3 linked regions of the Canis lupus familiaris genome follow. The protein of the gene in region 3 purifies or fractionates together with the protein of the main gene of each other region. This does not show direct contact. Links are inferred from orthologs where the notes say so. Each region holds a gene or a part of one and is shown on either strand. Other genes may lie near its edges. The genes, in order: RIPK1, CRADD and PIDD1.

Region 1 (3,513 bases), on a different chromosome or scaffold from region 3:
TTGAGGAAAGAATAAACAAACTGTGGTACATCCACACCATGGAATACTACTCAGCAATAAAAAGAACAAATCGTTGGTATACACAATAGCCTGGATGAATCATGCTGAATGGCAAAAAGCCAAACCCAAAGCATTCCCAAAAAGTATTTTATGATTCTATTTTTTTTTAAGATTTTATTTATTTATTCATGAGAGACACAGAGAGAGAGAGGCAGAGACACAGGCAGAGGGAGAAGCAGGCTCCATGTGGGGAGCCTGATGTGGGACTCGTTCCCAGGACTCCGGGATCATGCCCTGAGCCAAAGGCAGATGTTCAACTGCTGAGCCACCCAGGGGTCCCTATGATTCTACTTATGTAGTATTTGTGAAGTGACAAAAAATGACAGAAACGGAGAACAGATTAGAGATCAACAGAGGTGAAGGAGGAGGGTGGCGTTGGGGAGGAAAGTGGGTGTGGGTACAAGAAGGCAACATAAGGCACCCTTCTGGTGATGGAGATGACCTGCATCTGACTGTATCAAGGTCAACATCCTAGTTGTAAAACCATACTGTAGTTTGGCCAGATGCTATCACTGGGGTAAACTAGGTAAAAGGTATATGGGATATTTCTGTGTTATTTCTTTTCTTTTCCCTATTTTTTTTAGAAAGATTTTTTAGTAACCTGTACATCCAGCCTGGGGCTCGAACTTACAACCCCCGAGATCAAGAGTTGCATACTCTATTGACTGAGCCAGCCAGGTGCCCCTGTTTTTCTTACAACCACAGGTACATCTACAATTATCTCAAAATAGGAACTTTAATTTTAAAAAAGTGAAAAAGGCATAAAAGAAAAGAAGAGACCAGGTCAGGAGAGGATTCAGGCTGACTAGGAAAATAGGAAAACAAGCAAGTAAATCAAAGTACCCTTCTAATCCTTGGTTCTAGTGGTGGGTGGGGCTTTATTCTGTTTTCTCATGGCAGAAATAGGCTCCTAAGTGACTTCCTACTATTTATTTCTTGCTTACCTGATTTTCTTTCCTCTGCCTCTAGAATCTTAGCAAGGTCCTAGGTAACCTAGTGGAATGGGAAGACATGCAAGGATGTGACAAACATTCATGTCCCCTTTCCTCGCCCTCTATTAAAGGCCTAATTTTTTTAAAGATTTTATTTATTTATTCATGAGAGACAGAGAGAGAGAGAGAGAGAGAGAGGCACAGACACAAGCAGAGGGAGAAGCAGGCTCCATGCAGGGAGCCCGACGTGGGACTTGATCCCGGGTCTCCAGGATCACACCCTGGGCCGAAGGCTGCGCTAAACGGCTGAGCCACCCGGGCTGCCCTACAGGCCTAATCTAAATGACAATATACATTTCCAAAGAAGTCTGCATCCCAAGGGGAAGGAGAAGAAATAAAAGATGCTAATAAAAAAGGACCAGTGGAAGCTACCAAAGTATCCATCAACAGATGAATGAATAAAGAAAATGCGGCGTGTGTGTATACATACACACACACACACACACACACACACCCCTTCTCTCTCCCTCTGCCTGTGTTTCTGCCTCTCTCTCTGTCATGAATAAATGAATAAAATCTTACAAAAAAAAAAAAAAAAGGAAGGAACTTCTGACACACACCACAGCACAGAGCAACCCTAGACATTATCCTGAGTGAAACAAGCCAGGCACGAAAAGACAAAAACTGTATGACTCCACGAGGTGCCTAGAATCGTGCCTATTGATGTAATGATAGAAATAATAGAATAAATTCATAGGGATGAAAAGTCAGAAGGGTGGCTGCCAGGGCTGGGGGAAGGGGGATGGGGAGTTGGTGCGTTTTAATGGATACGAAGTTTCAGTTTGGGAAGATGAAGAGGTTTTAGAGATGGCTGGTGGTGCTGGATGCACAACACTGTGAACGTACTCAACGCCGCTGAACTGTACACTTAAATAAGGTTAAAATGGTAACTGATGCATTATGCATATTTTAACACAATTTTTATTTATTTATTTTTAAAGATTTTTTTTATTTATTCATGAGACACACACAAAGAGAGAAAGAGAGGCAGAGATACAGGCAGAGAAGCAGGCTCTATGCAGGGAGCCAGACGTGGGACTTGATCCTGGGTCTCCAGGATCATGCCTTGGACTGAAGGTAGCGCTAAACCGCTGAGCCACCAGGGCTGCCCTTAACACAATTTTTAAAAAGTTAATTATGCAGAAAAAAAAAAAAAAAAAGAAAGAAAGAAAAAAGAAAGAAGAGGGCCTCATATAACTTCACATTTTTAAGAGGGATGGTATCTTTTCATCGAACAAAATGTGTGAAATCTAGAAAGTCTATTTGAAATCACAAGTAGAACTCAGGTTTCTGAACACTTCAACTTCCTGACAACATCTTACCAGGAAAGTCACCTCACTGGCAATGTACACAGTCACAGAAGATGCTCTTACCAGCAAATGTTGGCCGAATTTCGGGTTTTGCCTCCCAGCATTGCTTCATGATGCTGATAATCTCCTCTGGGCAGTACTCAATGATGTCCTCCACATCTGGCCTGTTCCCAGATTTAATGCACAGTATCAGCTGCTGTTCACAGATAGCATCTATAAGGCAAAGAATTTACGTTGATTTTTTCCTCAGGTCCTGCGTGTCTTAGGCAGGAAGGCAGCAGAACTTGGACAATCCTGCTGATCTCCTCTACCTAGGGTATGCTTTTAGGACGGGCGCCTCATCTGTTAGGGGCAGAAGGACCCTCTGACAAGGCACTGACATATTCTACTGCCCAGATGATCAAACGACATTTTAACCTCTGCAGAAGAAAGAAAGAATTCACAACAAAGTGGCCTCCTGGTAGAATAGAATATACAAATAAAAACAATGGCAGACTCCAGACTTTAATACAAAGGCGAACATGGAACAGCTTTTACCCGTAAAGAACTAAGTTTATTGAGAGGGACTTAAAATACAGATTGGTAATGGTTATTCAAAAATTAAGTACAAAGGTTTCTGCTAACACAACCATGATGAGAAGGTCAGAGAAGGCTTTGCTGCATCAAAAAAAAAAACTAGAAGGATTTATCGATAAATCAGGAAGGAGGACTCAGAGAACAGGATTCCAGGATAGGGGGGCAGGATATGAATAGCTTGGAAGTCTCCAAAATCGTGATGTATCCTAGAAATTATGCGTAGTTCTCAATAACTGGGCATATTGACTAAAGAAAGAGAGGTAAGGAATAAGGCTAGAGAAAGATGGAAAAGCCAGAGAGGGCCTTGTATTCCATGCTGAAGAATTTGAACTCTATACTGGAGGCCCAGGGAGCCTTGGAAAGATTATAAATAGATGAATCAGATGGTCATACTTGTCTATTAGGATGACCAGCCTGGCTGCAGGGTGAATGGGGAAATGAGCAGCCCTCAGTAGAAATACGGATGGTCTGAACTAGAGAGTCTGGTGGGGACAGAAGTGGGGGGATTCAAGATGGATCTTGAATCATATATATACCTTGAATTCATAGGTTTTGAATGGACAAAGCTGAGACCG
Region 2 (4,191 bases), on a different chromosome or scaffold from region 3:
GGTTGATAACGTACCACAGATAAAAACAAAGTTTGAAAAGGGATGGGGAATGCAGGAGATTAATGTTGCAATTTTAAATAGATTGGTCAGGAAAGGTTTCGTAGATGAGGCGACTTTTGAGACTTATCTATCAGGTCAGTTGTGTGCAACGCCCTGCTGGAGATCCTGTCTTAAAATACTCCCTTAGATAAACCCCTACGGGGACGTGGCGCAGCGGTTTGGCGCCTGCCTTTGGCCCAGGGCGCGATCCTGGAGACCCGGGATCGAATCCCACGTCGGGCTCCCGGTGCATGGAGCCTGCTTCTCTCTCTGCCTCTCTTTCTTTCTCTCTCTCTCTGTGACTATCATAAATAAATAAAAAATTAAAAAAAAAAAAAAACCCTACGTGACTTACTTAACTGTTTTCCATTTCCAGGAGGCGATATTGTTTACCCGCAATAAATATGGCGGAAAAAAGCTTCAGTCCCCCACACTTGGGCCCGCTCAGCAAACATGGAGACAGCACTTCCTGTGTTTGCCCTCAACAAAGATGGCGACAGCACTTCCTGTGTTTGCCCTCAACAGAGATGGCGACAGCACTTCCTGTGTTTGCCCTCAACAAAGATGGCGACAGCACTTCCTGTTGAGGGGCTTCGCCTTCAACAAAGATGGTACTTATGGTACAGGTTCCTTAACAGCCTGGATTCCGGTTGCGGTTTTTTTTTTTTTTTTTTTTTTCCTTTAAATACATGTGTTTGCAGACGTAAGTAACAGGAAACCAGAAACCCCGTATCCATTTTTTTCTCGAAGGCCCCGCACCGTGGCCTCTGCGGCCTCGGCCCCGCGTGGCTTCCCCGCCCACCTAACTTGCGGCGTTTGCGAGCCGGGCCCGGGTTGGGGAGGCGGTGGCGGTGCTGGGGGGGCCAGCGCCCCCTTCCATCCGTTCTGAAGATCATTCCCTGCTCAGGTTGCCCCGAAAATCCCTCCTAGTTCTTCCTGTTGGTAATACAGCAGGACTTGAGGTGGCAAGGAGGGAACTGAGGGCTCTAGACGGGCGTGGGCGGCCGCCAGCGCACGCCGTCCCCTCCCCCGTCGCCACCTCCCCCTACCCCCACCCCCACGGAGCCCCCCCTGTGCCGCCCCCCGACCCCTCCCCCCTCCCCCGCTGCTTCGCCTTCGAAGCCTGGGCACCGGCGCCCCGAGACCCGGCGGCGGGCCTGGCTACTGACCACGGCTGCAGTGGGGGGAAATCCCCAATAAGCGTCCCTCCCACGTGCGGTCCTGGCGGTGGTGCCATAGAGATGCGGAACGCCTAGGGGGAGGGGTGCCGCGACCACCCGGGAGGCGCCCCGCAGAGCACACCTAGAGGTGACGGGGCGGGGGCTTTGCTCCCAGGGGCGGAGGACCTTACAGGGCTCGGTACCTGCGGGCCTCGCGCCCACGCCCACTGCGCTGCGGGCTGAGCAGAAGCCGGTCCGAAGGCCGCCTGCGGTATATCTGATGAAGTCGACGTTAAAGGAAAGCCGCTGGTTCTTGTTAGTATGTTAAAATGAAACGCTGCTCTGTAATTCTCAGATCAAAATTGCTTTTAAGCAGGGTCCGTGGCCCAGTTTTTTCCAAACGTCCTTATCAAGCAAGGAATCCAGCGAGGACCCCATTGTGTGGAAAGCAAAATTAGAAAAGATGATTCATATTCAGGGTTGGTCATTATGCTCAGAAATATTCAAGATTACTTTGATTTGGCTTAACGGCCATATGCTAAACACCACGGCCTGGCACTCCGCCAAGATTCCTAGACGTACCTGACCTTAAGGAGTTTGCCTTTAGGAGGGTTGGTCAGCTTCCTGGAATCTGAGCTACTATTTCATGTCTTCCCAGGGAGAAATGGAAGCTAGAGACAAGCAAGTGCTTCGCTCCCTTCGCCTGGAGCTGGGTGCAGAAGTACTGGTGGAGGGACTGGTTCTTCAATATCTTTACCAGGAAGGGGTCTTGACAGAAAACCACCTTCAAGAAATCAAAGCTCAAGCCACAGGCCTTCGGAAAACAATGCTGCTGCTGGATATCCTACCTTCTAGAGGTCCTAAAGCATTTGATGCATTCCTAGATTCCCTGCAGGAATTTCCCTGGGTTAGGGAGAAGCTGGAGAAGGCAAGGGAAGAAGCCATAACTGAGCTCCCTGCAGGTAGGCCTGAAAAGATCACTTCTGACCAGCTGCAGAATTGTGGAAACTATGTCCTTTGGATGTGAAGTTGGGGTTTTAGGTGAGCAGTGGGTAAGGAGTTTGGCGTGAAGGCACATGGTGTTGGAGGCTGAGGAGGAGGAGGTGGAATTAGGAATGGTAGAGCCGGGGATCCCTGGGTGGCTCAGTGATTTAGCGCCTGCCTTGGGCCCAGGGCGCGATCCTGGAGTCCCGGGATCAAGTCCCGCGTCGGCCTGCTTCTCCCTCTGCCGTTCTCTCTCTCTCTACGTCTATCATGAATAAATAAATAAAATATAAAAAAAAAAAAAAAAAAAAAAGGAAGTGTAGAGCCATGATGCAGAGGGTGAGGAGGGAGGTCACAGAATACATTTAGAAATGCTTCCAGGGAAACTTGGCAAGTCACTTGGGAGGCATGTTCTCATCTGAGAGCCAGGTCATATCTCAGCTCTTGGCATCGGGAGCCATTTGGAAAGTACAGATGGGAAAGCAGGCATCAGGCTACCGATAACGGATTTGTGGGGTGCCAGAGCTGCCGGCTGGGAAAGGTCAGCTTCATGAAGGAGGAGACAGTCTCTAGGAAGGCATGCCTTGCACCTGTTCCCTAGGCCAAAGGGGATTATTTAGAGAGCTGGTTAAGTTTTTAAAGGTTATTGATTGAAAGTCATTCTTTTTAGTTTGGCTTTGTTCAGACACCCAGAGTATTTAATATTATAAGAATAGTAGTTTGGAGAGGGTCTGTTTTGATTTTAAAGAAAGTTGAAAGCAATGGAAAAGAGAAACAATCCTGATGCTACTGGCCTGACTTGTAGCAGGAAGAAGATATGATGTGAGATGCTTTCCCTCTTAACACTTCCATGACTTACTGTTTTCCAAAGCTTGAGGAGCAGAGAACTGAATTGCCAAAAAAACCCAAACCAAACCAAAACAAAAACCCACCCCCAAAACAAAACAAAACAAAAAAACAACAAAAAAAAACCAACCCCCAAACCTCCAAAGTATAAATAACATAAATTAGTTTAAAAAGAAATAAGTAAAATAAAAAAATAAAAAATTGAAAGTTAACTTGCAAATTTTTAATAGTTAGGAAATAAACATTTTCCGGAGTTTTTGAAAGTAGTGATAGTTAGAACTCCTCCGGGACAGTGGTTCTCAGACTTTGTTGTTGCAGTTTTAAAAATACCAACATAGGGATCCCTGGGTGGCGCAGCGGTTTGGCGCCTGCCTTTGGCCCAGGGCGCGATCCTGGAGACCCGGGATCGAATCCCATGTCGGGCTCCCGGTGCATGGAGCCTGCTTCTCCCTCTGCCTGTGTCTCTGCCTCTCTCTCTCTCTCTGTGACTATCATAAATAAATAAAAATTAAAAAAAAAAAAAATAAATAAAAATACCAACATAACTGGTTAAAAAACAACTACCAGTAATAAAAGACCAATTTTATTATTTTTGCCCCATGGACCTCATATTTTGTTTTATTTTGAATGATTTTTCAGACTGCAGGTACTAACTAATCATGATGAATTCTTCTATTTTTATTAATGACATATGTCTGAATATCTGCTCTGCATGAGATAACCACTTAACTTAGGAGGGCTTGGTTAAACCCCAGTGGAAAAAACAAACATATTTTCATTTCCTAGCATGGCTGAATTTCAGGTAAATGTATGTGTTAGGCTTTTTGAAATACTGAAAATAGCTGTCCTTTCAGGGCCACAGGAATTCAAGTGTCCTTACAAAATTAAATACTCCAGGTATGTGAACAAATCCAAACGAAAGTATCTAAGACGTTTCTACCAGTTTACTGAAAACAGAATAAATATTGTGGAACTGGGGACATGTTAAGAGAAGTATTAGGGTATCCAGTGTCTTTTCCTGGTGTTTAACTTAGAGATGCCTCTTGGCACCAGATAGTTGGAAACAACAAAACAAGCGAAACGAAACCCCGTTACTACCAAAATATTTCATTTAATTTTACAATCATTTTGGGTGATGTAACCAGTTCTGTTCTATGTTGTT
Region 3 (4,227 bases):
GACGATACTGGATGTTGACAGGGCTAGCAGTAGCCCCAGCAGGGAACTGCAGGCGGACGCCACAGGCCAGGGTCACGGAGCAGCCTTGGGGAGTCACAGGGAAGCTGTGTGACAGAGTGGGCATCAGGTCAGACAATAGAAAGGGGTGTGGCTGAATCGGGCACCCCTGGGAAACTCTAGAAGATCCCTGGGGCCTGAGCGAGGTGCACATTATGGATAGGGTGACAGGGTAGAGACGTGCTTTTTCAGCAACACACACATACACACACACTCACACACACCTGTCCACATCTGAGTTCAGGAACAGTCTGGGCATTTCCAGGATCACCGGCGCCTCTGTGCAAGGATGGGCAGCTGTTAGTATACCTACAGTACCTACATCCTGGCCTGTCTGTGGTCTGACCCTTCCCAGGAACAAGCCTACCTGGGGGGCTTTGGGGGGCAGGTAGAGCCTCGCCCAGGGGGTTCCCCTGAAGGCGCACAAAGGGAGCGTCCAGGAGCTCCGGGGGCACGTCCCGGAGCTGGTTGTCCCTCAGATCCAGCCGAGTGAGCAGCGGGAGGTGTACCAGGCCGGTGGGCACTGAGGTCAGGAGGTTGCTGTGCAAAACAAGGAGCCGCAAGGACCGCAGCCCCACTGTGGGGAGATGCCAGCTTAGGGCCAGCAGAGGACCACCACCCAGGGCCACGCCTAGTCCTGGCCAGGACAGGATACTCATGGCAGGCCCAAGCAGAGAAGCCTTTCCAGTCTCTGCCCCATGGCCAGACTCGGGGAGCTTGAAATCCAGGGAAGGAAGGGCAAACGAGTGCCACCTGGAGGAGTGAAGGCTCCAAGGTGGCCAAGATTGTGTGTGCAGGGTCCCCTGTGGAGGACAAGGTGGGGCCCACAGAGAGCGGAGGCCAGACAGTGGCCAAAAGGCCCTCTCCATCAGGCCCAAGGAGCCAAAAGGGGCCTGACCCCTACTTACCAAGGGAGGTCGGGAGGCCCTGCAGCCGGTTGGAAGCCAGATTGAGCTCCGTGAGGCTGCTCAGGCCTCCAATCTCAGGGGGCAGAGTGTCCAGAAGGTTCCCTGAGAGATCAAGGCGCTGCAGGGTGGAGAGAGCTCCCAGCGCTATGGGCAGCGTTTGCAAACGATTATGGGTCACAGAGAGGAAGGTAAGGGAGGGGAGGGCTCCGAGGGCCTCAGGGAGCTCTGAGAGGTGGTTGTAAGAGAGCAGGAGGGTGCTCAGGCCACGCATCTGTGGGATGCAGGCCGGCAGCGTCTCCAGGCTGTTGAAGCTCAGATCTAGGTGGGCCAAGCGGGCCAGGCCACTCAGGCCAGCGGGCAGTGTGGTCAGAGAGCCCCGGAGGCAGGCACCCAGCACATCCCAGTGTTGTCCACCTAGAAAGGGGGAGAGCAGATGTGGCCCTCAGGGCCGGAATCCCAGGGCTCAGCTCAGAGGCACAGACCTCTCTACCCCAACCCCACCCAGCGAGGGACAGAGACCCCAGCAATGCAGGGAGACAGGGATGCATACGACAGGCTCATCTCGGCTGACAGCCATCACCCATGACCTGCCCCAGAAAGAATAGCCATGCTGCTGTCTGCTGGGGGACACCACTGGGCAGCTGCAGCATGGGCGGGGTTGGGACAGGGCTGGGACCAGGTGGGGCTCACCTCTGAGGACCAGGGAGCGAAGGCGCTGCAGGTTCCGCGGCACCTGGGTCAGGGTAGCCTCTAGCAGCTGAGGGTCCTCGTGGCCACTCAGCTGCAAGAACTCCACTTCCCCCAGCTGAGGGGGTCGCTGGGCACAGAGATGGAGCAGCCGGTGGCACCCCCCAGGGTACAGGTCCAGGCTCAACCGGTTCCCAACCAGGAGACGGAGCTCTGCATCCGCAGCCTCTGTGGCATCTCCTGCAGCATCTTCTGTAGCAGCTGCCTGGGGCTCCAGCCCCTCTGCCTCTGCAGCCATCGCCCACCGGCTGTCCTCGGGGGCCAGACATGTCCCAGCCTGCCAAACAGGCCTGCTCAGACAGGGCCGGGGAGGCTGCAGAGTCAGGGGGAGGAGTGGGGAGAGGGAGGGAGGCTGGGCCCTCCTCCGTTCAGGGGAATGGGGACTCTGGCTGGGGCGGGGGGAGGGGGGAGTTCCCCTGAGCCAGACCAGCTGATGCACAGAGCCCAGAGCCTCCCCTGGACAGGTCACTTTTGAAAGAGGGCTGGGGAAGGAGGACCCCAGGACTGGGAAGGCAGCCCAGAGCGAGATCTGTGTGCAGAGGAGCCCAGAGGACCTGGCTGGGGGGAGGAGGGAGAAATGAGGCTTCACATTCCACTTCTGGAAATCTGAAGGAGACCCCTAGAGCTGTCCTGTCATCCTGGCTGTTCTGCCCCCCCCCCCCAAGAGCTGGAGGTCCAGCCCCCCTGCCAACCTTCACACCCACCAGCTTTGACCCGAGGCTGAGGACTCTACCACGTGGGGACAGTGGCCCAGGCCAGGAAAGGGGCGATTGTGCCCACACAGGTCAGATAAGTGAATGGGGTGGGGGGGTGAGCCACTGGGCAGCGCGGAGTCCTGGGGATGGGACGCTGGGGGAGGGGTCTCCCCGCTTCCCGTCTGCACCGAGGTCGCGGTCGGGAGCAGTGGCCCGGCACTCGGGGCTCCGACGGGGCCGGTCCTGGCCGGGAGAGCGCCCCCCCGCCCCCGCCCTCGCCCTGCGCGTACCTGCGCTCCGGGCTGGGCGCCGTCCCGGGTGGGACGCCCCACGCCGGGTTCCCGCTGGCGCGCTCGGAGCGGCCCAGGCGTCGGGGGCCCGCCCAGGCCGGACGCCGCGGGGCTGGGGCGCAGGCGGAGGCCTCGGGGTGCCCGCACCCCCCGCCCCGCCCCTGTCCAGCCTGCAGCCCAGGAGACGCGGCCGCGGACCCCAACCGCCAGCCGCCGGCCCCGCGGTGCTCGGCTTCCTGCTCGTCCGCCTCGGGCCGGCCTCTCCCGCCGGGAGGCCCGCGTCGCGCCGCCCAGCCCGCCCTCCCGGAGATTCCCGGCCCCGGCCCGCCCTGCCCTGCAGCTGTGCGCTCCCGGCCGGGAGGTGAGCGGGTGCAACCTCGGGGGAGGGGGGCCCGGACGCAGCTGCGGCCTCAGATCCACCTCCTGCCAGAAGCCAGGGCAGCACGGGTACCGTCCCCGGCCAGCCTCTGGGGCCTCCTTCTCCGGGAAGCCTTCCTGAGGCTCCTCTAGCGGCCTGGGCCCAGCTCCTGCTATCCTGCTTTAGCGGCACTTTGGCCAGGTGCCCCAGCAGGGGGCTAGCCCATGCCTCCTCTGCCTCAATCTTTGCATCTCACAGGGAAGGAAAAGGAGGCCCTGACATCAGAGTTTGCCCCAGGTCACCGGAACTAAGTGCCACAGCTGAGAACCTCACACTAGGTCTGCCTGTGGAGAGCCTGCCAGACCTGTGCTCGTTCACCTGCTCTGCCCCAGATCAGGGGCTCCCACGCCACCAGCCGCCCACCCGCCAGGATGGGCAGTTGGGCCAGGCCTGCACTTGCCCCGGCTCCTGGCCCCCGTTGTTTCTGCGAGGCTGCCAGAGACTTAAACAACCACCACAGGGCGTTACTCAGCTTTATTTTATTTTTTTTAAATATTTTATTTCTTTACTCAGAGAGAGAGAGAGAGAGAGAGGCAAAGACACAGGCAGAGAGAGAAGCAGGCTCCATGCAGGGAGCCTGATGTGGGACTCGATCCCAGGACCCTGGGATCAGGCCCTGGGCTGAAGGCGGCGCTAAACTGCTGAGCCACCCGGGGTGCCCCATTATTCAGCTTTAAAAGGGAATGAAATTCTGATATGTGCCAGGATATGGAGAGAATGTCCGAGAGGGTAAATAGAGTCTGCTTCCACGTCTGCATCCAGTCGGGACCCCAGAGCAGTCAAATGAGTCCAAAGTGGTGGGTGCCAGGGGCTGGGGAAGTAGGGAGTTACTGCTGAGCTGGTGTGGACTCCCAACTTGGGAGGACGAAATCCCCTGTGGGTAGAAAGTGGTGACAGCTGTGTAACTGGGAAAACACCCAGGGCCACTGAATTGTGCGGCTGGAATGGCAAACCTGACATATCCTGTCACCTCCAACGCCACACATCACAACACGCCCCACCCCTGATGTCCCCATTTTACTCCGTGTGGGGCCTTGAGTGAGACCTGTGCCCCACCTCTGTCTATGATGGGGGTGATGACAGCGAGGGCACCCCAAGAGTAAGGAGACCTG

The links.
Region 1: the proteins of PIDD1 (region 3) and RIPK1 purify together in Homo sapiens (affinity purification with western blotting; 3 studies listed by BioGRID and IntAct, with this or other methods). This does not show direct contact. The link is inferred for Canis lupus familiaris from reciprocal best matches to the Homo sapiens genes PIDD1 and RIPK1.
Region 2: the proteins of PIDD1 (region 3) and CRADD purify together in Homo sapiens (affinity purification with western blotting; 8 studies listed by BioGRID and IntAct, with this or other methods). This does not show direct contact. The link is inferred for Canis lupus familiaris from reciprocal best matches to the Homo sapiens genes PIDD1 and CRADD.

What each region holds. Positions count from the first base shown.
Region 1 is NC_049256.1:4,671,550-4,675,062, reverse strand, and holds part of RIPK1 (receptor-interacting serine/threonine-protein kinase 1), read right to left. Parts: intron 2,576-3,513; coding exon 2,426-2,575; intron 1-2,425. UniProt on the Homo sapiens protein: Serine-threonine kinase which is a key regulator of TNF-mediated apoptosis, necroptosis and inflammatory pathways.
Region 2 is NC_049236.1:34,177,843-34,182,033, forward strand, and holds the start of CRADD (death domain-containing protein CRADD), read left to right. Parts: upstream 1-1,382; 5' UTR 1,383-1,479; coding exon 1,480-1,518; intron 1,519-1,857; coding exon 1,858-2,161; intron 2,162-4,191. UniProt on the Homo sapiens protein: Adapter protein that associates with PIDD1 and the caspase CASP2 to form the PIDDosome, a complex that activates CASP2 and triggers apoptosis.
Region 3 is NC_049239.1:45,603,611-45,607,837, forward strand, and holds the start of PIDD1 (p53-induced death domain-containing protein 1), read right to left. Parts: upstream 2,804-4,227; 5' UTR 2,698-2,803; intron 1,990-2,697; 5' UTR 1,951-1,989; coding exon 1,656-1,950; intron 1,380-1,655; coding exon 966-1,379; intron 635-965; coding exon 425-634; intron 337-424; coding exon 282-336; intron 105-281; coding exon 1-104. UniProt on the Homo sapiens protein: Component of the DNA damage/stress response pathway that functions downstream of p53/TP53 and can either promote cell survival or apoptosis.